Linked DNA regions of Oryctolagus cuniculus. The protein of the gene in region 4 interacts with the protein of the main gene of each other region in a pairwise test. Links are inferred from orthologs where the notes say so. Each region holds a gene or a part of one and is shown on either strand. Other genes may lie near its edges. The genes, in order: ASPH, GPX7, GET4 and GET3.

Evidence for each region.
Region 1: the proteins of GET3 (region 4) and ASPH interact in binary tests that used the Homo sapiens proteins (3 or more experiments, as listed by UniProt). The two-hybrid records come from large-scale screens. The link is inferred for Oryctolagus cuniculus from reciprocal best matches to the Homo sapiens genes GET3 and ASPH.
Region 2: the proteins of GET3 (region 4) and GPX7 interact in binary tests that used the Homo sapiens proteins (3 or more experiments, as listed by UniProt). The two-hybrid records come from large-scale screens. The link is inferred for Oryctolagus cuniculus from reciprocal best matches to the Homo sapiens genes GET3 and GPX7.
Region 3: the proteins of GET3 (region 4) and GET4 interact in binary tests that used the Homo sapiens proteins (3 or more experiments, as listed by UniProt). The link is inferred for Oryctolagus cuniculus from reciprocal best matches to the Homo sapiens genes GET3 and GET4.

Annotation. Positions count from the first base shown.
Region 1 is NC_091437.1:86,913,791-86,918,166, forward strand, and holds part of ASPH (aspartyl/asparaginyl beta-hydroxylase), read right to left. Parts: intron 2,567-4,376; coding exon 2,416-2,566; 3' UTR 1-2,415.
Region 2 is NC_091438.1:120,295,193-120,301,236, reverse strand, and holds the start of GPX7 (glutathione peroxidase 7 precursor), read left to right. Parts: upstream 1-2,493; 5' UTR 2,494-2,531; coding exon 2,532-2,666; intron 2,667-6,044. UniProt on the Homo sapiens protein: It protects esophageal epithelia from hydrogen peroxide-induced oxidative stress. It suppresses acidic bile acid-induced reactive oxygen species (ROS) and protects against oxidative DNA damage and double-strand breaks.
Region 3 is NC_091450.1:36,346,665-36,352,461, reverse strand, and holds the start of GET4 (Golgi to ER traffic protein 4 homolog), read right to left. Parts: upstream 4,579-5,797; 5' UTR 4,434-4,578; coding exon 4,285-4,433; intron 2,950-4,284; exon of another isoform or gene 2,839-2,949; coding exon of another isoform or gene 2,816-2,838; intron 605-2,815; coding exon 526-604; intron 77-525; coding exon 1-76. UniProt on the Homo sapiens protein: As part of a cytosolic protein quality control complex, the BAG6/BAT3 complex, maintains misfolded and hydrophobic patches-containing proteins in a soluble state and participates in their proper delivery to the endoplasmic reticulum or alternatively can promote their sorting to the proteasome where they undergo degradation.
Region 4 is NC_091447.1:62,268,477-62,274,572, reverse strand, and holds the start of GET3 (ATPase GET3), read right to left. Parts: upstream 3,662-6,096; 5' UTR 2,373-3,661; coding exon 2,212-2,372; intron 1,211-2,211; coding exon 1,063-1,210; intron 1-1,062. Other genes in the region: TRIR (telomerase RNA component interacting RNase), read left to right, coding at 3,855-4,202, 5,938-6,015.

The DNA.
Region 1 (4,376 bases), on a different chromosome or scaffold from region 4:
TGACACGAATGTCACTCCATGAGCACTGGATTGTATTGCCCTTTGTCAGTCATTTCCTCTGTCCAATAAATTCTGAGGGACACAAATACTGTCTTATCTTTTATGAGTTTGATTTCTCTTTTTCATTTTGGTAATTAATTTGATAGTTTCCCTCTTGTGCCTCTTTGTTTTAGTAGGATTTCTGAACATTGGCAAAACAGAAGGAACAGGAGAAATATTTTTAAAATTTTTCTACTGAGGCCAATATCAATAAAGTCAAGGAAAAGGGGTCAATTTCTATGTTAAAGAAATTAAAAAAAAACATTTATCTATCTATTTGAAAGAGCTACACAGAGAGAGAGAGAGAGAGAGAGAGAGATGGAGAGAGAGAGGCAGAGAGAGATCTGTCCACTCGTTCACTCTCCAAATGCCCACAAAGGCAAGGGCTGGACCAGGCCAAAGCCAGTAGCTCCATCTAGGTCTCCCAAATGGGTGACAGGGACCCAAACACTGGGCTGTGTCCATTGCCTTTCCCAGGCCATCAGCAGGCAGCTGCATTGGAAGTGGGGCAGCCAGGACATGAACTGGCATCCATATGGGATGCCGATGTTAAAGGCAGCAGTCTTAACTGCTACACCACAAGGCCAGCCCCAAAGAAATATTTTTTCCCCATAGACTTATTTATTTATTTATTTGACAGGCAGAATTAGAGATAAAGGGAGAGAAAGAGAGACAGAGAGATCTTCTACCCACTGGTTCACTTCCCAAATGGTTCCAACAGCTGGGGCTGGGCCAAGTCGAAGCCAGGAGCTTCATCCTGGTCTCCCACATAGGTGCAGGGGCCCAAGTACTTGGGCCATCTTCTGCTGCTTTCCCAGGCACATTCACAGAGATCTGGATTGGAAGTGGAGCAGCTGGAACTCGAACCAGTGCCCACATGGGATGCTAGCATCAAAGGCAGTGACTTAACCCACTATGCCACAACATTGGCCCCATGAAATAGTCTTTAATGACATAAAGAAAGCCTCCTTAGTATTGGAACAAAAAGAAAGCACAGGTGTATTTTTCGACCTGTGAATGCAATCAGGTGATCTATGTGCCATTTTGGCATTTTTGTTCATATTGGCTTAGAATTCAGTGCCTGAATATCATTACATTCTTAAACATGTCTAGTTAGCATGTATTTTAAAAATACACAGTCAAATACATTACTGCTTTACTAAATCAGGGATTTGATTATCTTGGGATTGAGTGGGCAACACCATTTTCTATTGTGATTTTTAGGTCATGGGTAATATTAGCAGTACATGTAGATAATTATTGTTCTTTCAAAGTGATGTTTCAAAGGCAGAAGTTCCTCGAGCCAGGGAGATAGAAGAGGAGAGCAATCTCCACCTCCTACACCCAGCATGAGGATCCTAGCATCCTTCATGACTTTCACTCTGTACCCTTAATGTTTTTACAAAGCTGTGGGGGTTATCTCCACGGCCAAATGCCCTCACATAGATTGACAGTAGGCAGGTGCCCTGGATTCCTAGGTCCTGCTCACAGACAGCAAAAAGGACAGGAGCCAGACACCCTAGCAGCGCCTATCTACCGAGTCCTCAGAGAACATCTTCTACGCATTTTACCCCCTCACAAACACAAGGCCTAATACTGGGCATTAAAAAATTTCTATTCAGTATTTTTATAATTCTCTGTAAAAATGATTCCATATCCTTTTTCAATGTTAAAAAAACTCCTCTTAGAAAGAACTATGATTTTTATAATATTTCCACCATTAGCATAATGAGGAAAAATTAAGATACTGGATCTCAACGCAGATAATAAGTAGGGATCAGCATAGTTCACAGGCATTGGATTGGTGTAATTATGTGTTCTCTTTTGTATTAGGAAAGTAAAATTGCTTTATTCAAGAGTGTCTTTTACTGAAAGAATTAAAAGAGGGAAATCTCAGTTTGCCAGGGAAGTTATCATTAAACAGCTAGAGATAAAGCATTTACATAGCTTGTCATTGAAATCCACAAAAAGTAGTGGTATATGATGACAAAACAGTTTGACTATCCTAGAAAAATATAACTACATAGAAAAATTCCAACTAAAGCAATATATTCACAGTTTCTACATATGTTCTCATTGTATGTTGATTTAGACCTGTTATTCTACATGGAAAGAATATCTTTGGCTGGCAAGGTAGAGGCTGTTAAATGTTCACCTTAGATATAGGCAGAAGGTCCGTGTTGTCACGCAGGTGTTTCCTAAATGAACTGTAATGAGGCAAATACTCTCTTTTGTGTCTTCAAACCCTAGGAGGAGGCATAAAATTGTCCAGGGAATGAAAAGTCTTGGTGTTTACACTTCTTTCTTCACATCCAAGGAGACACAGCCAAAAAGACAACCTCTCTGTAGTGGGTCCCAAGCCTGCATGAATTCCTGCTAAATTGCGGGAAGGCTGCGTCTCTGATGGGGGGTGAGCTCTGGGTGCCACACATCCACGATGAAAATCAGCCGGAAAGATGAGGCATCCTGCCACACTTCATGCTCAAAGGAGTCGTCAAAGATGAACACCTTGCCTTCCTCCCAGGTCCTGGAACAGAGAGACACAGATTCTAGAGTTCAGCTTTGTGTGGTTCAGCTGCCTGAGGTCAATTCCTGTCCGCATGCAGGAAGCCCTTTCTATAATCTTTGCGATATACCAGCTAACCAGAACGCCAAGCCAGAATTTATTCCTCCCCTGGTGACAAAGAAAGGACTTCAGGATTCTTAGCATAAACATTCATTTTTCATTGCTCCGCATTGAGGATGTACCATGGGCAGGGGACTGGTGATGAGGGCCTACTGACAGCATCACAGGCACCACACTGGTGCTGGCTCTCACCCTCGGAGGGGCCTCCTTGATCAGCCCAGCACTGGAGCGCATGCCCTGGCAGTTCCTGCATGCAACAGCTCCTCAGTTAGGGACTCCACGGCCTTTTCCTCCGGGGTCTTTCAGAGATGAGTTTAGAACCACAGGTGGGGACCAGGTGTCAGGCATCTCAGTGCCTCTGAGGACACCTGGCAGGGGTTTGTGCATCACCAAGTGATTTTCCTTTCAGCTTACAAGTTCCATTTTATGGAATTGAGTCTTCACTTACACTCAGTGACCAGAAGGCATATAACCAAATTATGTGGTTCCAAGCTAGTATAACTGGTTGGGGAAAATGGGCAGATTGGGAATGGATTTTGTATATTTTTAGTGTCATCTGCTATGCAAGTGGGTTATCCATGGAATATTTTAAGTCAATGTTGCAAAACACTTTAGAGCCTCCAGTACTACCTCTCAAGAGATCTGGATGGTTACTTAGATCTAAATATAGTGTTAGTCTAAACAAAGCAATCAAGGCGGAAATATGCAGGAGGCAGTTACACCAGGTCTTTCAAATCCAAAGAAAGTTTATTAACTATATGACAATGCTCCCTTCCATTAAAAATAGATACTAATTGCTAATATCTTAAATGCTGTTATGTTTTTAAAATGAAATTTCCTTTATATTTTAAGATTCCACTTAAGCACTTGAAATTTTACATCTTGGATTAGCAAAATAGTTGCATTAGGGCATAGATATGCTAATGTGATTTCAAACTATCACTTTATCATAAAGACCTTTTTATTGGGAAAATGACTGATGTCCTTTTTATGTTTCTTATTAGGTGATAAATCAACATAAATCAAGCACAATGATGTATTGCAGGGCTTCTTGATCTCGGCACTACTGATGTGTGGGCCAGATCACTCTCTGTTGGACAGGCTCTCTCGTATACTGTAGCAACATCACCCACTAGATAGCAGTAGGACAGGACCTGCACACCAGTGTGACTTCCTCAGTCACTGCCAAAAGGCCCGGGGTGGGGGTGGGGGCAAAATCATCCCAGTGGAGAATAACTGACAAAGTGTGTGATTTCGACAATAAACTTCCAACTTGTTTAAAGTGACTGATAAAGTAATTCACATTTACAAGTTAAAAGCTCATTAAAGCAATACTTCTGCTACTCACCCATACAACACCCCTGCCCCTGCCCCACCTGGCCCTGCCCTTTGTGCTGTCACACATCTAACCTAATGTCTTACATTCAATAAAAAAGAAGTGTTGCTTGGGTCTTTACCTTCCTCTGAAGGTTTACAAGAGTTCCATTAGAATTCTATCCAAAGGTAACAAAGGACAGAAAACAGAGATTTAGGAGCAAATGACCGAAGAGGCATTCATCATGATGCAAAATCAAACTTAAAGAAAGGCAACACCAAGAAAAGAAAAGAAAAGAAAAGAAAAAGAGAAAAGGAAGAAAAAAGTGTTCTTAGAGGGCTTAAGCATTGCTAGTGTGTCACAGACAAGCCTACAACATAGGCAGAATATAGGAAG
Region 2 (6,044 bases), on a different chromosome or scaffold from region 4:
ACAGTGACTCAGGAATCAAGCCCCTGATGACTGCTCCACCCTCATCTGCCCTCCACCCCAGTAGCCAAGTGCCCCTCTCAAGCTCTGTGCCTTCATAGACACTGCTCCCTTCCCAACCCAGAGAGCTCCTTTTTCAATATGTGGCTCTGGTCCCACCACCTCCAAGAAGCCTTCTCTCTCTGGCTGCTCTGGCCACGAATCAGCTGCCTCAAAGTCCTGGGGTTTCCTCTGTCCCAGCATCTGGATCATAACTGCACCTGTTGTCTCCCACCCACTCTTCCCACAACAGCCAGTGGTATCTTTCTGCAACACAGGACCCCCTGTGGTACTGCCCCACTGTAAAATAAAGCACAACTCCTTTTTGGCTTCTTGATTTGATGTCATTTCCACCTGCTTCCCCGCCTTCCCTTTCATCCTTCCATCTTTCTTTTCTTTTCTTTTTTTTTTCTTTTTTTTTTTTTTTTTTTTTTTTTTTGACAGGCAGAATGGACAGTGAGAGAGAGAGCCAGAGAGAAAGGTCTTCCTTTGCCGTTGGTTCACCCTCCAATGGTCGCTGTGGCCAGCGCACCGCGCTGATCCAATGGCAGGAGCCAGGAACTTATCCCAGTCTCCCATGGGGTGCAGGGCCCAAGCACCTGGGCCATCCTCCACTGCACTCCCTGGCCACAGCAGAGAGCTGGCCTGGAAGAGGGGCAACTGGGACAGAATCCAGCGCCCTGACTGGGACTAGAACCCAGTTGCTGGCGCCGCAAGGCGGAGGATTAGCCTAGTGAACCGCGGCGCCGGCCTCATCCTTCCATCTTTCTTCAACAAAACTACCCGTCTTCGTTTCTCATTGCACTTTTTTTGTTGTTGTTGTTCTTCAAAATATCTCTTGGCCAGTGCCGCGGCTCACTTGGCTAATCCTCTGCCTGCGGAACCGGAACCCCGGGTTCTAGTCCCGGTTGGGGCGCCGGATTCTGTCCCAGTTGCTCCTCTTTCAGTCCAGCTCTCTGCTGTGGCCCGGGAGGGTGGTGGAGGATGGCCCAAGTCCTTGGGCCCTGCACCCCATGGGAGACCAGGATAAATACCTGGCTCCTGCCATCAGATCAGCGCGGTGCGCTGGCCGCAGCACGCCGGCTGCGGCGGCCACTGGAGGGTGAACCAACGGCAAAGGAAGACCTTTCTCTCTGTCTCTCTCACTGTCCACTCTGCCTGTCAAAAAATAAAATTAAATTAAAAAAAAGAAGTGGAGCAGCCAGAAAGAAGTCAAACAGGCACTCCTCTATGGAATGTGGCTTTTTCAAGTAGCTGCCTAACCCGCTGTGCTAAAACACCAGCTCCTAATTACAAATTATTTAATGTCTGTCTCTCCCTCAATAGGGATCATGCCTATCTTGCTTATCACTGCATGAGCATCACCCAGAGCAGAACCTGGCACAGAACACTCAAGAAGTGTTTGCTGATTGTCTACAGGAGTGCTTAGTCTTTACAGGACACACGATCTCCCCCTTAGTTGGCTTCTTTTACACCAGCCTGGGGGTTCCTGCAGGGACTGGCACAGGGTTGGCTGCCAGCCCCATGCTTGGCACTTTGTGGGCCTCACAGGGAGAAACTGTGATTTGCTTCCCAAATACCCCATCAATGACGACCTGGGACATAGTTGCTGGTAGTGCTGTCAGTATAAAGCCTTTAGCTGTCAGCTCCTACAGGGGTAGGACCATCTTGCCCCTGTCACACCCCTGCCCAGATAGTTCCACATCTAATGAATGCGTGGATGAAGACAGTGGCATTAGGCCTGGCCATCTTAACTCATCTGGGGGGAAAAGGGCTCCTATGGGCCATTCTAGCTCCAGAGTCCCTGCCGGGTCAGCCAGGACAGTCCTAGAATCTGCACGGAGCTCTCCACTCCTGCCTCTGCCACTCCAGGTGTGGATCCCAAGGGTGCCCCCTCATTAACATCCTGCTCTACAATCCCCATCCTACACTCTGCTTCCCAGGAACCCAACCCCCAGTAGGCCGCCAGCTTCTCCAAGCAGTCCGTTCCTGGAACATTCATTCAAATCCCTAAACGTGTATGCTCCATTCCGCTGTCCGTGAGTCGCATTCATTTTTTCAATGGCTGGAGGGCCTAGGGACTGGAAGGCTAGGAAGGCTAGCCCCGTTACACAGACGGACAAACTGAGGCCTCAGGGGTGGAGTAACCGGCTCAGGGGCGCTGCACTGAATGAGCAGCTCAGGTCTCAGACCAGATTTCTGTTTCTCGTTCTGCACTAAGTTGCTGCCTCCTGGGGCACGCAAGAGCCCCACGAAGAAAATTCTAGCCTCAGTGGTCAGAACCTAAAAGCCTGGCTCTGGGGTCCGGGCCCCGGGGCGCATTCCAGAGCTTTTGTAGGACCGAAGGGGAAACTGAGTTCCGGAGCCCAGTGCTCGCTGGAGGAAAAACGAGAAGGGGGCGCGTCCTGCCTCGCGGGGCCGCCTCCTCCCGCCCCCCACGCCGATTCCCCACGCCTGGTCTTTGGCCTTGCATCGCCGCCCCTCGGAAGAGAGCCATGGTGGCGGCGGTGGCGGTGGCGTGGCTGCTCCTGTGGGCCACGGCCTGCGCGCAGCAGGAGCAGGACTTCTACGACTTCAAGGTGGTCAACATCCGGGGCAAGCTGGTGTCGCTGGAGAAGTACCGCGGCTCGGTGAGTGCGTGTCCGCTGCGGGGTTGGGACGCCGCCCTGCAGGCCTGCGGGGGGCGCCGGCGGCCTGGGGCCCTGCCGGGTGTGGCTCTGGCCGCTCAGCACCCGGACTCGGCTGCCACCCGCACCGGGGCCTTCTGTCCGCCCCGGCGCTCGGAGCTGGGAGCCAGCCGTGTCCGTCCCGCGACTACGTGGCACGGCCCCTGCGCGCAGCGAAACCCGAGACTCGCAGCCCGCGCCCACTTCGCTCCCGGCGGCCCGGGACAGCGGCGTCCGGCCCTGGCAGGCAGGCCCAGCCTTTGCCATCCGCGCGTGGGAAAAGTCACTTTAACACCGTGCGGCCTTTGCCTCTCCGTCCCCGGGTTCCACGTTGGGAACTGGGCAGTTGCTGATGCGGAGTCAGTGAGAACACTGGAGAGCAATGTGCGGGGTGAGGGCGGTAGCATTTTAGGTGCACGGGGGACCTTCCCACGGCCCATCCTGGAGAGATGGGAAGCGTTTGCACGAGGCCATGCGGCACTAGGCGGCCACCAGCCTGGAGGGGAGAGCACTCCCCTCTCCCTCCCTCCTGGCGAACTCTGTGCAAGGCAGCGCAGGGCGGAGACCCTGAGACTGAGACCCGGGAGCTCTGCAGGCGGGCTGGCTCCTCTTTACCAAGAAGGAATCAGCTCTGAGAGGCGACAGGGGGTCAGGGAGGGGCGTAGCTGGGCGCAATCCTTGATATGAAAGTGCATTTTTGCGGGACTAAAAAGAACATTCCAGACAAAGGGAGTTAACTGTCCTAGTCCAGGCTCAGCAGCCAACAGCCAGAAGGGAGGGAGGGGTAGGCCCAGAGGGATCATGGCAGGCCTGGAGGGGCCTCTGATACTGCCCACTGCTGGCAGAGGCCGGAGTGAAGACCTCTTCCAGGCTGCTTCCTAGATGGACCCGGGGACCCCTGTGGATAGACCACAGGAAAATGGAGTCAGCCTTCTCCTGGGCGCAAGGCCATCTCCAGGGAAGAAAGTATTGGAGAAAGCTTGCTGGAGTCCTGGGGACAGTCATTCCTGTCCTGACTGTCCCCGGGTGTTGTTCCACTTGAGACAACCGCGTAAAAGCTCTTAGAAAACTTCAGAGTGCTCTGTCCCAGGACAGGAGCCTCATCTAGGACTCAGGGCACCGAGCCAAGGCAAGTAGGGCCCTTTCCCATTCACACTTTTCCTTCTCTCTGTGCCGTCTCACCAGAGAGCTCCAGAGTTAGCACGGACCAGCTCTGCTGCTCATTAATTCATCGTTTATTACTGAGTGCCTACTGTATACTAGAAACCAACCCAGACCCTGGGAATACAGAGGTGAACGTAACAGTTTTCTTCTTTATTGGAACTTATCTGTGGGAGAGAGACAGTTAACAAAGAAGCGATAATGAACAAGGTGATTCTCAGTAGTAACAAGTGCTAGGACAAAAACAGTCCGGGGAAGCTGTAAATGGGGCTAAGAGTTAGGCCAAGCTAGGTCTGCTGCCTGGAAAATATGCTCATTCAGTTACCTGCACACATGTTCCAGCTCCTGTTACCTGGCTGGCATCCATGAGTAAGAGTGACATGGTTTATGCCCATGAGCTAATTAGGACTTAGACCAGTGTTGAGTATAGGTGTGCGGGTGACCACTTAGGTGTGTGCTTGTGTATCATATGGGGTTGTGTAGTGTGGCCTGCAGGTGGTATGTGTGTGTGTGAATGCTTTATTTGCTTGCTTTGTATGCTTCAGAGTCTGCTTTGTAAGTATCTATGTAAATTAAGTAAATGTTGGTGTGTGTCTGTGTTTTGGTCTCTAAAAATCAATCAGTGGGTTGCAGGGATGGAACTAGAAGCAAGATTTCCCCACTTCCAACAGCGTGGGTAGACACACAAGGTGTGGGTTCATAAAGATAAGCAGCTTTTAATGTTCTTATCTGTAATGCTCCTGGAAGACCCCAGACTGGGGAAGAGAATGAAGAGTCCCAGTTTCTCACCAGCCAGGGCAGAACGGGGCAGATGCTGCCCACTAATGGGGGAAGCTGTTCTAAAGCCTCTGGCCCCAGGGAATGGGTCTTTGGGGTAGAGGCAGCATGCCGGAGTTCTGGCGCAGTGTGTAGTCAGCTAGCCCAGTAGGCTCTCAGCTAGGGGTGATTTTGCCCCCCAGCCCAGGGAACACTGGATTATGCCAGGAAACATATTTGATTGTCAAGACTAGGCAGCTAGTGGGTAGAGGCCAGGGTTGCTGCCAGACATGCTACAGTGAGCAGGAGAGCCCCATGGAAAAGCAGCGTACAACCCACAATGTCAGTAGCACTGAGGCTGAGAAACCTTTCTTGCCTGGGCCTGTCGAGTGCTCCCCTAACCCTGGGAGGTGTTCCTCTTTTTGGGCCAGCTGGTATAATCCTGACTCTTCACAAACACCAGCCAGGGAGATAGGCAGGGATGGCCAGGCATGGGGTAGGGTTTTTAATACTTTAGGAATATATAGTTAGGGGCTTACAACATAGCATCAGTGCCAAAATTCTAATTGTAGTATTAAAATCCAGGTCTATCAGCCAGCTTTATATATATTGCCTATAAGGCTTTAATAAATTAAGGGATTAGTCTGATGATCAAAACATGAAGTATTGCTGGCAGGGAAGGGATAGAAAGGGAATGTCCTGGGGTCCTGGGGTTCTTAACAAGAAAACCTGTGTCTGCCCAGGTACCCATGCAGCTATTCCTGTGTGTGCACACTCACTCATCCCCGGACATGTCCTGAGACTTTCCCATACACCAGGCCCAGGGAGGAAGTGGATAGCTCCTGCCCTCTGTAGGTTCACCTTCTAGAAGGAAGGCTGACATATATACAGGCAACTACAGAGTACAGTGATAAGTGCAGATTAACTGAGCCAAAAATTAGACCCAGGTCTGCCTTTCTGTTCCTCCACATCACCCCCTGGTGTGTGCCTCTCACTGGGAATGTGTTATGTGTGTGTAAACGTGTGTGATCCATATTTGCTAATGTGTGTTTATGGATGTGCTTACCCACTAATAGATTTCATGTACTTATGCTTACAAGTGTTCATGTATGTGGTGCACATCTGGAAGCCCCTGCATGCTTGATTTCATGTGTGCCTGTGTGCATGTGTTTGTGCATAGGTGGGAGCATTGCACACACATTCACATATGTACAGAGTGTTCTTGTATTTGTAAGAGAGCATTGATGGCCAGAAGAGTCACATATGAGGTTATCTCAAAAAGTTTATGGGAAATGGAATTAAAAGGTTTTCTTGGGGGGCAAGTGTTTGGGGCAGCAGCTAAGATGCCCACATCCCTGAATAGAGTGCCTGGGTTTAAGCCCTAGCTCCAGTCCCAATTCTAGCTTCCTGCTAATGTGTACCCTC
Region 3 (5,797 bases), on a different chromosome or scaffold from region 4:
GCTCCTCGGCCACGTCCACTTCCGCCTTCTCCAGGGACTCCAAGACCAGCATGGACAGGTCCGCAGCACTGTTTTGCTGCAGAACAAGGGCCACAGGTGAGAGACGGGGCACGGCCACGCAGGGAGGGCACAGGGCTGCCTGCACCCGACCACGCCCACTGGCACCCCGGCCACGCCCACCAGCAACCCGACCACGCCCGCCAACAACCCGGCCACGCCCACTAGCACCCCGACAACACCCACTAGCACCCCGACAACGCCCACTGGCACCCTGACAACACCCGCCGGCACCCCGACAACACCCACCAGCACCCCGACAGCGCCCACTAGCACCCTGACAACACCCACCAGCACCCCGACAATGCCCACTAGCACCCCGACAATGCCCACTAGCACCCTGACAACGCCTGCCGGCACCCCGACCACACCCACCAGCACCCTGAGAACACCCACTAGCACCCCGACAGTGCCCACCAGCACCCTGACAACACCCGCCGGCACCCCCTGGCCATCGCCGACACGTACTTGGCCGTGGCTGAAGAACAGCAGAGCCCCCGAGTACAGCAGCTCGCGGGCCTCTGTGTGCTTGCCCTGGGACACGTACCTGCGGGAGAGAGAGCAGCGTGAGAACAGCCCGGGCACCCACAGCCCCGGAAGTGGACCTGCGCCCCCGCGGGCTCTCGGGAGCACGCCGCCGGGGAGACGGGGCGGGCAGGCCCCGTCCACACACAGGGCAGCAGTCCGGCGGCCTCAGCCGCGCCACGCCCTGTCCACCTGACGAGGGACGGCAAAGGGCAGGGGTGCGACACGGGGCTCCCGGCCAGCGACGCCCCCAGCCTCCGCGCCCTGCACGTGCTGCCGAATCCTCGGCACACCCTCACGGGGACCCGGGCCCAAAGGCACGGCGGGGGCACCGAACGGCGCCATCTCCCCTGACCTGACCGGCGAGCACGTTTCTTGCCCACGTGCGACAGCACTCAATTCTGGATTTCTGAGGCCTGCGACAAACTCACCCCGCCGGCCACCTCTTAGGAGACCCAACCACGAGAAAGAACTCTGGGAAGGCGAGGAACCCGACTCCTGGGGTGGGGTCCTGGCCGCGAGGGGGCTGCCGGGACCACAGTGCCCAGAGCAGGGGCCCAGCAGCCCAGGTCCAGTGGGGGGTGGGCAGCCTCAGGACTTCCGCACTGCCGACAGGGCTCAGCCCGCCTGCGCCTCCTGCCCGGTGAGGGTCCCGGCGTCCACCGCAGAGCCCCAGGACCCCGCTCCCAGGTGGGTGCCGACCGCGGGCCACGGCAGGCTCACTCCCTCCTTGCTCTACAAACAAAGCAAAACCCCCACAGAACACCAGAACCCACGCGCTGATGCCCACGACGCAACGTGGGAGTGCCCCAGGACCGGCCGGGCCTTAGCACGGGCTTGCTGGAGGCAGCTCTGTCCGTGCTCAGCTGTTGGGAACAGCCAAGCAGGGACGTGGACACAGGCCAAGGCGCTGTGGAGACGGTGTCCGACCCTGTGCCGTGGCAGGGGCTTCAGTGCTGGCGTGGCCAGGACACAGCCGCCCGTGTCCCCAGCAGCTCTTGGGACCAGCTCACCGGGGAACTGGGTGTGCACCACACACCCTCCACGGGGCCTGAAACCCAGCTCGCTCCTCGTCCACGGGGACAGGTCCAACAGCCACCGGCTGAGCAAGCGACCCAGGAACCAGGGCCTGAGCTGCCGGCCCCTCCCCGCTCCCTGCAGCCACGGGACTGAGCAGGCGAAGACCCCGTCAGCAACAAAGCGGACTAAGACACCCGCAGGGACCCCCACCCCGCTCAGCGCATTCAGAATCCAAACAGGCGCCCCCACCGTGACTGCACTGCGCGGGGTTCTAGAAGCCCATCAACCCAGAAGGGCTGACGGCAGCCACTGGGGGGCGGGCCCGGCCCACGTGACTGGTTGCCTGGCAATATGCAAACGCATGACACACATCAGAACCCCAGCTAACTCGGGGACTCCCACTTCCGAGAGGCCGCACTCCCAGAGTGCACCTGGGGACGCGTGTGCTGCGTCCCGGGCCCCAGTGGGGGGTCTGGCAGAAACGCAGCCTCCATGGACGCACTCGTCCACTGAGGGTCACACCAGGGCCAGGCCCGCGGTGCCGCCTGGAGTTCCGGCTGCCCCAGCTCTCCCCAGCTCCCGGCTCACGGCCTGAGAAAGCCGTGGACGGCGGCCCAGTGCCGTGTCCCTGCACCCACGTGGAGACCCAGACGGAGGGCCAGGCTCCTGGCTTCAGCCTGGCCCAGCTCTGCCTTGGGAGTGAACCAGCTTTAAGGGTTAACAACCAAGCCCTGCGGACCTGGCCCACGCGAGGCAGTGTGTTTCCAGGAAGAGACACTCGTGATCAGTCACCATGCAAACACCTACATCCCGGTCCCCAAGACCAGCACCCGTCTCATCTCGGGGGCGCAGGTCCAGACGGGACGGTGCGCACACACCCCACACCACTGCTCCCCGAGGAGCGATGCAGCCCGCGGGGAGCCAGCGCGCCCAGAGCAGCCCACGGCAGCCGCGGGGGAGCCAGCGCGCCCAGAGCAGCCCACGGCAGCCGCGGGGAGGCAGCGCGCCCAGAGCAGCCCACGGCAGCCGCGGGGAGGCAGCGCGCCCAGAGCAGCCCACGGCAGCCGCGGGGAGGCAGCGCGCCCAGAGCAGCCCACGGCAGCCGCGGGGAGCCAGCGCGCCCAGAGCAGCCCACGGCAGCCGCGGGGAGCCAGCGCGCCCAGAGCAGCCCACGGGCATGGACATGACCACCCCGGGGTGAAGGCTGCACGACCTCAAACCTCCTCCTGAACCCATCTCCTCGCAGCCTGACTGCCGGGCGTCACTGCACAGAAGGTTCCGGAACCAGACCTGTCTCAGGTCACTTAGGAGAGCGACTCACACCTCCTCCTCGGCCAGGAGCCCGGGACTCCACACACACTCCCTACCCGGGGCACAGCAGGGCTGTGGAGGCAACAGACGCCAAGGCAGGGCGGTGCTGGCCTCGCTCGGTCCTCTTCCCGGGACAGGGGTGCTGGGCCCACGCTCAGTCCTCTGCCCGGGACAGGGGTGCTAGCCCCACGCTCGGTCCTCTTCCCGGGACAGGGGTGCTGGGCCCACGCTCAGTCCTCTGCCCGGGACAGGGGTGCTAGCCCCACGCTCGGTCCTCTTCCCGGGACGGCGGTGCTGGCCCCACACTCAGTCCTCTGCCCGGGACAGGGGTGCTAGCCCCACGCTCAGTCCTCTGCCCAGGATGGGAGTGCTGGCCCCGTGCTCAGTCCTCTTCCTGGGACGGGAGTGCTGGCCCCACGCTCGGTCCTCTGCCCGGGACGGGCGGTGCTGGCCACGCTCGGTCCTCTGCCCGGGATGGCGGTGCTGGCCCCGTGCTCGGTCCTCTTCCCGGGACGGCGGTGCTGGCCACGCTCGGTCCTCTGTCCGGGATGGCGGTGCTGGCCCCGTGCTCGGTCCTCTTCCCAGGACGGCGGTGCTGGCCCCGTGCTCGGTCCTCTTCCCGGGACGGGGGTGCTGGCCCCACGCTCGGTCCTCTTCCCGGGACGGGGGTGCTGGGCCCACGCTCGGTCCTCTGCCCGGGATGGGGGTGCTGGCCCAACGCTCGGTCCTCTGCCCGGGACGGGGGTGCTGGCCCAACGCTCGGTCCTCTGCCCGGGACGGGGGTGCTGGCCCCACGCCCGTCCTCTGCCCGGGACGGGGGTGCTGGCCCCACGCCCGTCCTCTGCCCGGTGTCCCCCGGCCGGGGCCTCAGACCCTGCGCCCCCGCGCCCCGCGAAGCCCAGCGACTCTCACCACGGGCCCCAGGGCTGGCACGCACGTCCCACGCGAGTTACCGAGAACCGAACCTGCCCCGAAACTCAGCCTCACGAAACAGCGGGCGCCGGGCCGGGCCTGAGCCGCGGGCTCGCATGGCGGCCACGCCGGCGCCGGGGGCGGGCCGGGCCGCAGGCCGCGCCGAGGGGTCGCCCCACGGTCAGGGCGCCCGACGGCCGTGCCGCCCGCGGGGACGCCCCAGCCGGCTCGCAGCTCGCGGAGGGGAGGCCGCGGCCGCGCCGGGCCGGGTCAGGCCGGGTCAAGCCGGGCCGGCCGCCCGCAGCCCCCCGCCCGCCGCCCCAGCCCCCCGCGCCCGGCCGGCCTCGGCCTCCGACAGGCAGCCGCGCGGACCAATGGGGGCGCGGGCTGGCGCGGCGCGACCAATAGGAGGCGGGCGGGGGCGGGCCGGGCCGGGCGGACGCGCCGCGCCGCGGCTACCTGAAGAAGAGCGTCCGGTACATCTGGTGCGCCTCGTAGTAGTCGCCCTTCTCCACGCTGGCGCGCAGCTTGCCCTCCACGCGCTGGACGCCGCCGCGGTTGCGCGCGCCGTTGCGGGCGCTCTCCTGCTCGGCCATCGCCGCCGCCATCGGGCCGGCGCTCCGCGCAGGGCTGACGCTGTCGCTGTCGCAGGGGCGGTCGGCGGCGACTCCCTCCCGGCTTCCGTCCCGCGGCCGCGCCACGCCCTCTACGGTGGCCGCGAGGAGCCGCACGCAGGCGCGGGGCGCTGCGCGGTGGGCACACGTGACTCAGCAGCCGGGCCGCCTGTGGCGAGGGGCACGTGGCCCGGGGGCGGAGCCGCGGGCTACCACCTGACGCGGGCCGGGCGCGCGCTCGCAGCACAATGGCTGACGCGGCCCTGGACGCTGGCCGCCCCGAGAGCGCGAGGGGCCCGCGCCCACGGGGCCGCCCGGAGAGCGCGAGGGGCCCGCGTCCACGGGGCCGCGGGAGAGCGCGAGGGGCCCGCGCCAACGGGGCCGCCCCAGAGCGCGAGGGGCCCGCGCCCACGGGGCCGCCCCAGAGCGCGAGGGGCCCGCGCCCACGGGGCCGCCCCAGAGCGCGAGGGGCCCGCGTCCACGGGGCCGCCCGGAGAGCGCGAGGGGCCCGCGCCCACGGGGCCGCCCCAGAGCGCGAGGGGCCCGCGTCCACGGGGCCGCGGGAGAACGCGAGGGGTCCGCGCCCACGGGGCCGCCGGAGAGCGCGAGGGGCCCGCGTCTACGGGGCCGCCCGGAGAGCGCGAGGGACCCGCGTCCACGGGGCCGCCGGGAGAGCGCGAGGGGCCCGCGCCTACGGGGCCGCCCCAGAGCGCGAGGGACCCGCGTCCGCGGGTGCCCCGGCCCCTCGTGGAAACCGAGCCGGCGACGAACGCACGGCCGACCATGATGGGGGCACCGCTCAGGCCGAGGGGGCGACTCGTGTCTGGCGGGTGAAGCCGCCGCCTGCAGCGCGTGGGTTCGAGCCCCGGCTCCGCTTCCGGCCCCGCTCCCGCTCACGGCCCGGGACGCGGAGCCGCGGGGTCTCGAGCCGGCGCCCGCGTGGGCTGAGCCGCAGGCGTGGCCACGTCACGGTCACTCCCCTCCCCGGGCCGCCCGCCGATGGCGGGGTGGCCAGCGGGGCAGCAGGCGGGCGGGCAGAGGAGCTCTGTGCCTCCGTCTGCGCCTCCAGTTCTGCCTGTAAATGCAAAGGCGCAGACAACCCGAGGAGAGCGCACGGCTTGCTGGTTTAAACACCACATGCACTGTAAAAATTAAAACTCTTTATTTATTTAAACATTTCAGTAGCATCTTATCAACTGGTGTCCGCGTAAGAAGCATTACCAAAGACGTATTCTGAAAAGCATTTACAAAAATACATTGCACAAAGTCCTATCTTCAAAAATAAATATGCAAAATATGTCCACCCGCTCCGGACCGAGTCTCACGTAGGAGATCCTGGTGCACGTGTGAGCTGTGTC
Region 4 (6,096 bases):
GGACCCCAGCACCCTGGTATCGGAGTGCCTGGGACCAAGCTTTGGTTTGTCTGTTTCGCAACCCAGCTCTCTGCTATGGCCTGGGAAAGCAGCGGAAGATGGCCCAAGTGCTTGGGCCCCAGCACCCACGTTGAGGGGAGACCTGGAAGAAGCTCCTGGCTTTGGATCAGCTCAGCTCTGGCTGTTGCAGCCATCTGGGGACTGAACCAGCCGGGAGGAAGACTTCTCTGTCTCCATCTCTCTGTAACTCTGCCTCTCAAATAAATTTTTCTTAAAAAAAAGAGAGAGAGAGCTGTTTTATTTCTGTCCCACCCTCATTACAACCATGCTCTCCTTTGAGAACACATCTCAACCATGCCTGACTGTCTCTCAGTAGTCTGCCTCCACACACGTGCAGGCTGCTGCCATTGCTAACCGGGACACACTCCAGCTTTCTCTCTCTCCCCCAATCCAGTCTCCCCACAGCAGGCAGAGGAACTTTCTGAAACATGACTCTGGGCATCTGACGCTGCCCTGAAGATACCTAACAACTCTGCATCAGACCAGGGAGCTGGGGCTGGGAGCGTGGTGCAGCGGGTGGGACGCCTGCATCCCGGGCCACGGTGCCTGGGTTTGGGTCCCAGCTCCATTCATGATTCCAGCTTCCTTGCCAACGTGCACCCTGGCACGCAGCAGGTGACGGATGGGACAAGTATATGGGTCCCTGCCGCTCATGTGGGAGACCCAGATAGAGTTCTGGGCCTGTGGGTTCAGCGTGGCTCACCAAACACGGCTGTTGGGGCCTTTTGGGGCAGGAGAGGGAGTGAAGCAGTGGATGGAAAATCTCTCTTTCCTTCTTGGTCTCTCTGCCTTTCGGAGAAATAAAACAGCCAACCAGAACAACCAAAGCAAGGACAAGCTGCCTGCCGCAGCCTGCAAAGCCCGGCCCTCCCTGCCTCTGGGTAGATCCCAAGTTCTCTTGCTCCCCAAGCCCCACTCAACACTGGCCTCCTTCCTGCTCCCCCAAGGGTCCTCCCTTGCGCCCCGCCCCGTGGTTAAGCCGAGGAAAAGGCGACCACTCACCATGGCAAAGAGGTTGTCATAGCCTTTGACCTTAGTAGGCACCTTGGAGAACTTCTGGTCGAAGGCGTCGGAGATGTTGTGGGCGGGGTCTGTGGAGATGATGAGCACGCTCTCCCGCCCCTTGGACAGCTGGACCGCCAGGCTGCAGCTAGGTAAGGAAAGGTGGTTGGATGGGGAGGAAGGGAGTTGACCTCTGCTCCCTCCCGGGGTCTGCAAGGGGGGAAGCTGTGGGGTCCCAGGAGCAGGGACCCGCACTAAAAGGAGACTTGAGACGTTGGGGCTGGCGCTGTGGCGTAGCGGGTAAAGCTGTCACCTCCTGCAGCACATCCCATATGGGCACGGGTTCGAGCCCCAGCTGCTTCACTTCCCATCCGTTAGTTAGCTTGGGCCCCTGTACCCACACGGGAGACCCAGAAGGAGCTCCTAGCTTCTCATCAGTCCAGCTCTGGCCATTGTGGCCATCTGGGGAATGAACCAGTGGATGGAAGACCTCTCTTTGTCTCTCCCTTTCTCTATTAACTCTTTCAATAAATAAATATTTCAAAACAAACAACAACAATAAAAAGACACGTGTACAGGTCCCTGCAGGGCGGGGGTCTTAGGCTTCGCGTGCTGACTGCTCCAAGTCCAGCCTGGCGCCTGTTCCTTTGCTGGGCACCGGGTGGCACTGGTTCAGCTGCCCGGTCAGCAAGGTTTGCGTCTGTGCCCCCTCTGTCAACTCTAACTCATCTGCTGCTCCAGAGACCCCCTCCCCCCAGCTGACGGGGGCAGTCTGATCATGGGCTTTCTCCTCCTCCTCCTCCCACTCTCACACTCAGCAGGGTTCGCTAGGCCAGGACAGCTAGCCCAGGTGTCCCTCAGCCTACCAGGCAAACCCGGGAACGGTCCAGCTGGTGGGGACCCCGAAGAGCTCCTTCCCCCATCCCCCTCGCTGCCCCGTGCGCCGGGCTCACGGGAGCCCCAGCAGGCATGGTTCAGCTCCGAGGGGCGCCAGGCCCACACTGGGGAGGCAGCTTCGGGAAGGGTAACTGGAAGACCCCCCCCCACCCCCCTCGCCGGCCCCGCGTGGAAAGACCAGTGTCTCGGTCTCCCCTTCGCCCGGTGGTACATCCCACCCGCCTCCCCGGCTCCCCGCCGCGGCCTCGCTACCTGCAGGTCGTCTTGCCCACGCCGCCCTTGCCCCCGACGAAGATCCACTTAAGGCTGCGTTGCTCGATGATGTTGCTCAGCGTGGGCTCCAGCGGCTCCACATCAGGTGCATCCTCGAACTCCTCCGCCTCAACCCCCCACCCGGCCGCCCCCGCCGCCATCTTGGAACCGGCTCACGTGATCGGGCGGAGCGCACCATGCAGAACACCCACGGGGGGGAAATTCCCTATTACCGCTGCTTTGAGGTCAGAAGACTGAATTCATTTTCTCGTAGCTTGCCTCTAACGGTCTAATAGAAGCTATATTTTCACTCTCCTCCGCTTTCAGGGCTCATCTAGCAGACCTCTCATCTAAAATTTTCTACGGCTTCTCCCTGCCTAATGGAGATATTGGTACGGTCCAGACTACTCCCCTCCAGTGATTGGGCCCTAAGTCTTGCAGCCCTCCTCTCATTGGCAGCTTCTTTTCTGACTTCAACCAATCACTTTCACATCCCGGTAGCCGCCAGCCTCTCCTTAGCAACCAGCCAAACACCCCGTCCAAGCCCTTGCGGTGAAGTTAAATCCCCGGTCCGCCCTGGCCTCACTCCATAGGCTCTACGTCGCGTCCATCATTCCCTCCCTCTTCTGCAAATTGGGGGCAACCTCGTCTCAGGTCCGCCCCTTCTGTTATTCCATTGGCTGTGAGCCACCCGGCTCTTACCGCAGACCAATCGTGGAGGAGCTGATGAAGGGACTGGAGACCGGTCTCAGTGCTGCGGGAAGAGGACTTCGGTTGTGGGTAGGGGTCCGCAGACCTTTGTCCAGTGCGGGCCTGAGCCGCCCCGTTCCCCACCGCCTTGCTGGGCAGGGAGGGACCATCTTGTAACTTTTGGTCGTAAAATCACTCTTAGTTCTTGAAAACCTTCTCCGGCCTGTTCCAGGGAGAAGACTCCCAATTCCGCGAATTCCCTGCTGGAAACTCTCTGCCCCGGGGATCCCAGGTTCCGGGCGTCCAGAACTTTCTTAAACTTAGAAGGCGGGGGACTGCAGCCTAGAAGCCTCCCCGCCCCTCACCCCTAGCTTCTACTGAGTACTCCAGCCCATTAAGTAACTTTTCCCCCCCCAGACAAGAACCCCAGCTCCACGGAGCCAGCTGTTTCCCCCATTTCCACATGTGAGCTTCATCCCAGAGCTAGGTACCCAACCCAGAGACACCAACCCAGAGACCCTGTAGACCTGGTCGGGGAGTGAAGTTCGGAGGCATCAGCTGGAACTCACAAGCCCCCAACGGAGCCCTTCTCCTAGGAGATTATCCCTGGAGCTAGACAGGGATTCTACCCCTGGAAAGCAACTGCGGCCCTAGCCCCGAGCGGTAACCCCGATCCCGATAGCCAGCTGCATTTCCTGGGTAGCTTGCAGGTTCAGAGCGACGCCGGCCCGGGCCCTTAGAAGAGGAAAACCCTCGGGGCGTGGCTCTCTTCACCACGCCCCTTTCTAGGCACACCCCTGGCCGCCCCGCCCCCTGCCCCGCCCCCACTGCGGACGCTCTTAGGGCCAGACCGCTCTTCCCGGCATGCATTGCTTGGGACGAAGCGAGTCGGGCGCCAAGCGCGGGGCCGGAGCGGCCTTCCCGGAGTCCTTTGCGCGGCACCTGGCGACAAAATGGCTGCCCGAGGGAGACGGGCGGAGCCTCCAGGTCGGGAGGCGCCGGGCCCCGCGGGCGGCGGGGGCAGCGGGAGCCGATGGGCTGAGTCGGGGCCGGGGACGTCGTCCGAGAGCGGGGACGAGGAGGTGTCGGGCGCTGGTTCGAGCCCGGTGTCGGGCGGCGTGAACTTGTTCGCCAACGATGGCAGCTTCCTGGAGCTGTTCAAGCGGAAGATGGAGGAGGAGCAGCGGCAGCGGCAGGAGGAGCCGCCCCCGGGCCCGCCGCGACCCGACCAGCCGGCCGCCGCCGCCGCGGGCCCAGGGGATCCGAAGAGGAAGGGCGGCCCAGGCCCCACACTCAGCTTCGTAAGGAGCCGCGGGGGTGGGGGCGGGCGCCGGGGCCTCCTTTGGCAGGGGGAGTCGGGGCCCGAGAAGGGAGATCGGGATCCAGGGCCGCCCTGCGCCCCGATGAGGGGCCCCTGGGGTCCCCCCGCTGAGGATGTGGCGCTTGGATTCCTGACAAGAGGGGAACCGCGGTGGGGGGGGGGGGCTGGGCGGGAGTCGGGACCCCTGGAGCTTCTCCGTGGGAAGCGGGAGCCGGGAATTGCATTGGGAGCAGCGCCCCGGGCTTGAGGCAGACCTGAGTCCCAGGATCCGTGTTCGGGTGGTAACCCGGCCTGTGGGCTCTGGACCACTCCCCGTTATGGAGAACGGGGTCGGGGCGTACATTGGAGCCCCGTGGAGTCTGAACTGTGTTCCTTAGATAAAGCCTCTTCCCGTGAGACTCTAGGAAAACGCCTGGACTGCCCAGCGTCCGTGTGTTGAGCACGGTCCCTTGTGCTGGGCCTGGAGCTGGCGGGGCTGCACCTTCTGATGGGGGGGGGGGCGGGCTAGAAACCGGGGGCTTCTCAGCTGGAGATGCCGCCCCCTCCCGTAGCCATGTCTGGAGGCATTTTTTTAGGGGGGTGTCGGAGCTGGGGGTGGGGGATGCTGGTGACATCTTCGGATACAGGCCAGGGTTGCTGCTCTCGGGCTGCTTAAGAAGACGGCCTCCTGTCCCTACTCGGGCCAACAGCGGTCCCGCTCCGGAGGCCTCCACTCAGACCCAGGTCCAGGAACTCCGCACTGGCTAAGCGGGCCCCGGGCTAGATGCTGTCAGCTGGGAGCTTGCTCCATCTTGGCTGTTGAATTCCGAGTTCAACGGCCTCCCGGCTGGGGCTGTGTGAATTTTGGACAAGTGACCTGGCCTCTCCCGGCCTCATCTGTTAAACATGCTGAGTTTTTTTTTTTTTTTTTTTTTTAACCGGGAGCACAGGCCCCCTCCCCCTGGTGGAGGAGTGCAGATGGGGTGGTTTGGCGTGTGCCAGGCTTTCCTGTAGCCCTGGGAGTGCTGGACAGAGGCTCACAGTCAGTGGGACACCCGGGTGACCCAGGAAGGGGTGACAGGCGTGGCTGAGGACCCTTCCGTTGAGAGGCAGTAGCACTTGTGCCTGGCTGTGGCATTTGTTTCCAAGTGTACAGGGTGGGTTCTGCCGGGGGGGGTTAAGGTCCAGTGGTGTAGACTTACCCGACCCTGAATCAAGGCTGCAGTGTCTGTTGCCATCATGAGGCATTTCCCCTCTAAAACGCGGATGGGGTATAGCCTTCCACCCAGAGTGGCCACGGGAAAGGACACAAAACAGCGCCAGCTCTTGGGCGTATACAGTAAGCGCTCAATAAAAGCAGCTGCTGGCCACTTAGGTGCGTGATCCCTCATAGAGCAAGGAGTGGGTGGTGGTGGGGGGAAGCTTTCTTCCGCAGAGTGAGTGAGTGAGTGAGTGGGGACAGGGCCAGTGCCCACCGTGGTGGGTGCTTCCCCCTTGCTGCCCTGGGAGGGCAGCCCGGGCCCCCAGGACTGCCTGGGCACCGGCGGGGGGCCCAGGGCAGGCGCTAAGAGTCGCGTGTGCTCCTCTGATTGCTGCGCAGGTCGGCCGGCTGGCGGAGCTGGGCGCGGCGTCGGGACGGGCCACCGGGCCGGGCTAGGAAGGTGTAGTTCGCCTCAGCGCCGCCCAGGGCGGGCCCGGCTCCTTTAACCGTTGCAGTCTTCTGTCCCTTCACCCAGGTGGGCAAGCGCAGAGGCGGGAACAAACTAGCCCTCAAGACGGGAATAGTAGCCAAGAAGCAGAAGACGGAGGATGAGGTGAGTGGGAGGGTGGGTGTGGTCCTGGGGGGGTGGTGGAGGGCGTGTGTGGGGGGAGGCAAGGACGGGAAGGCGGGCTTT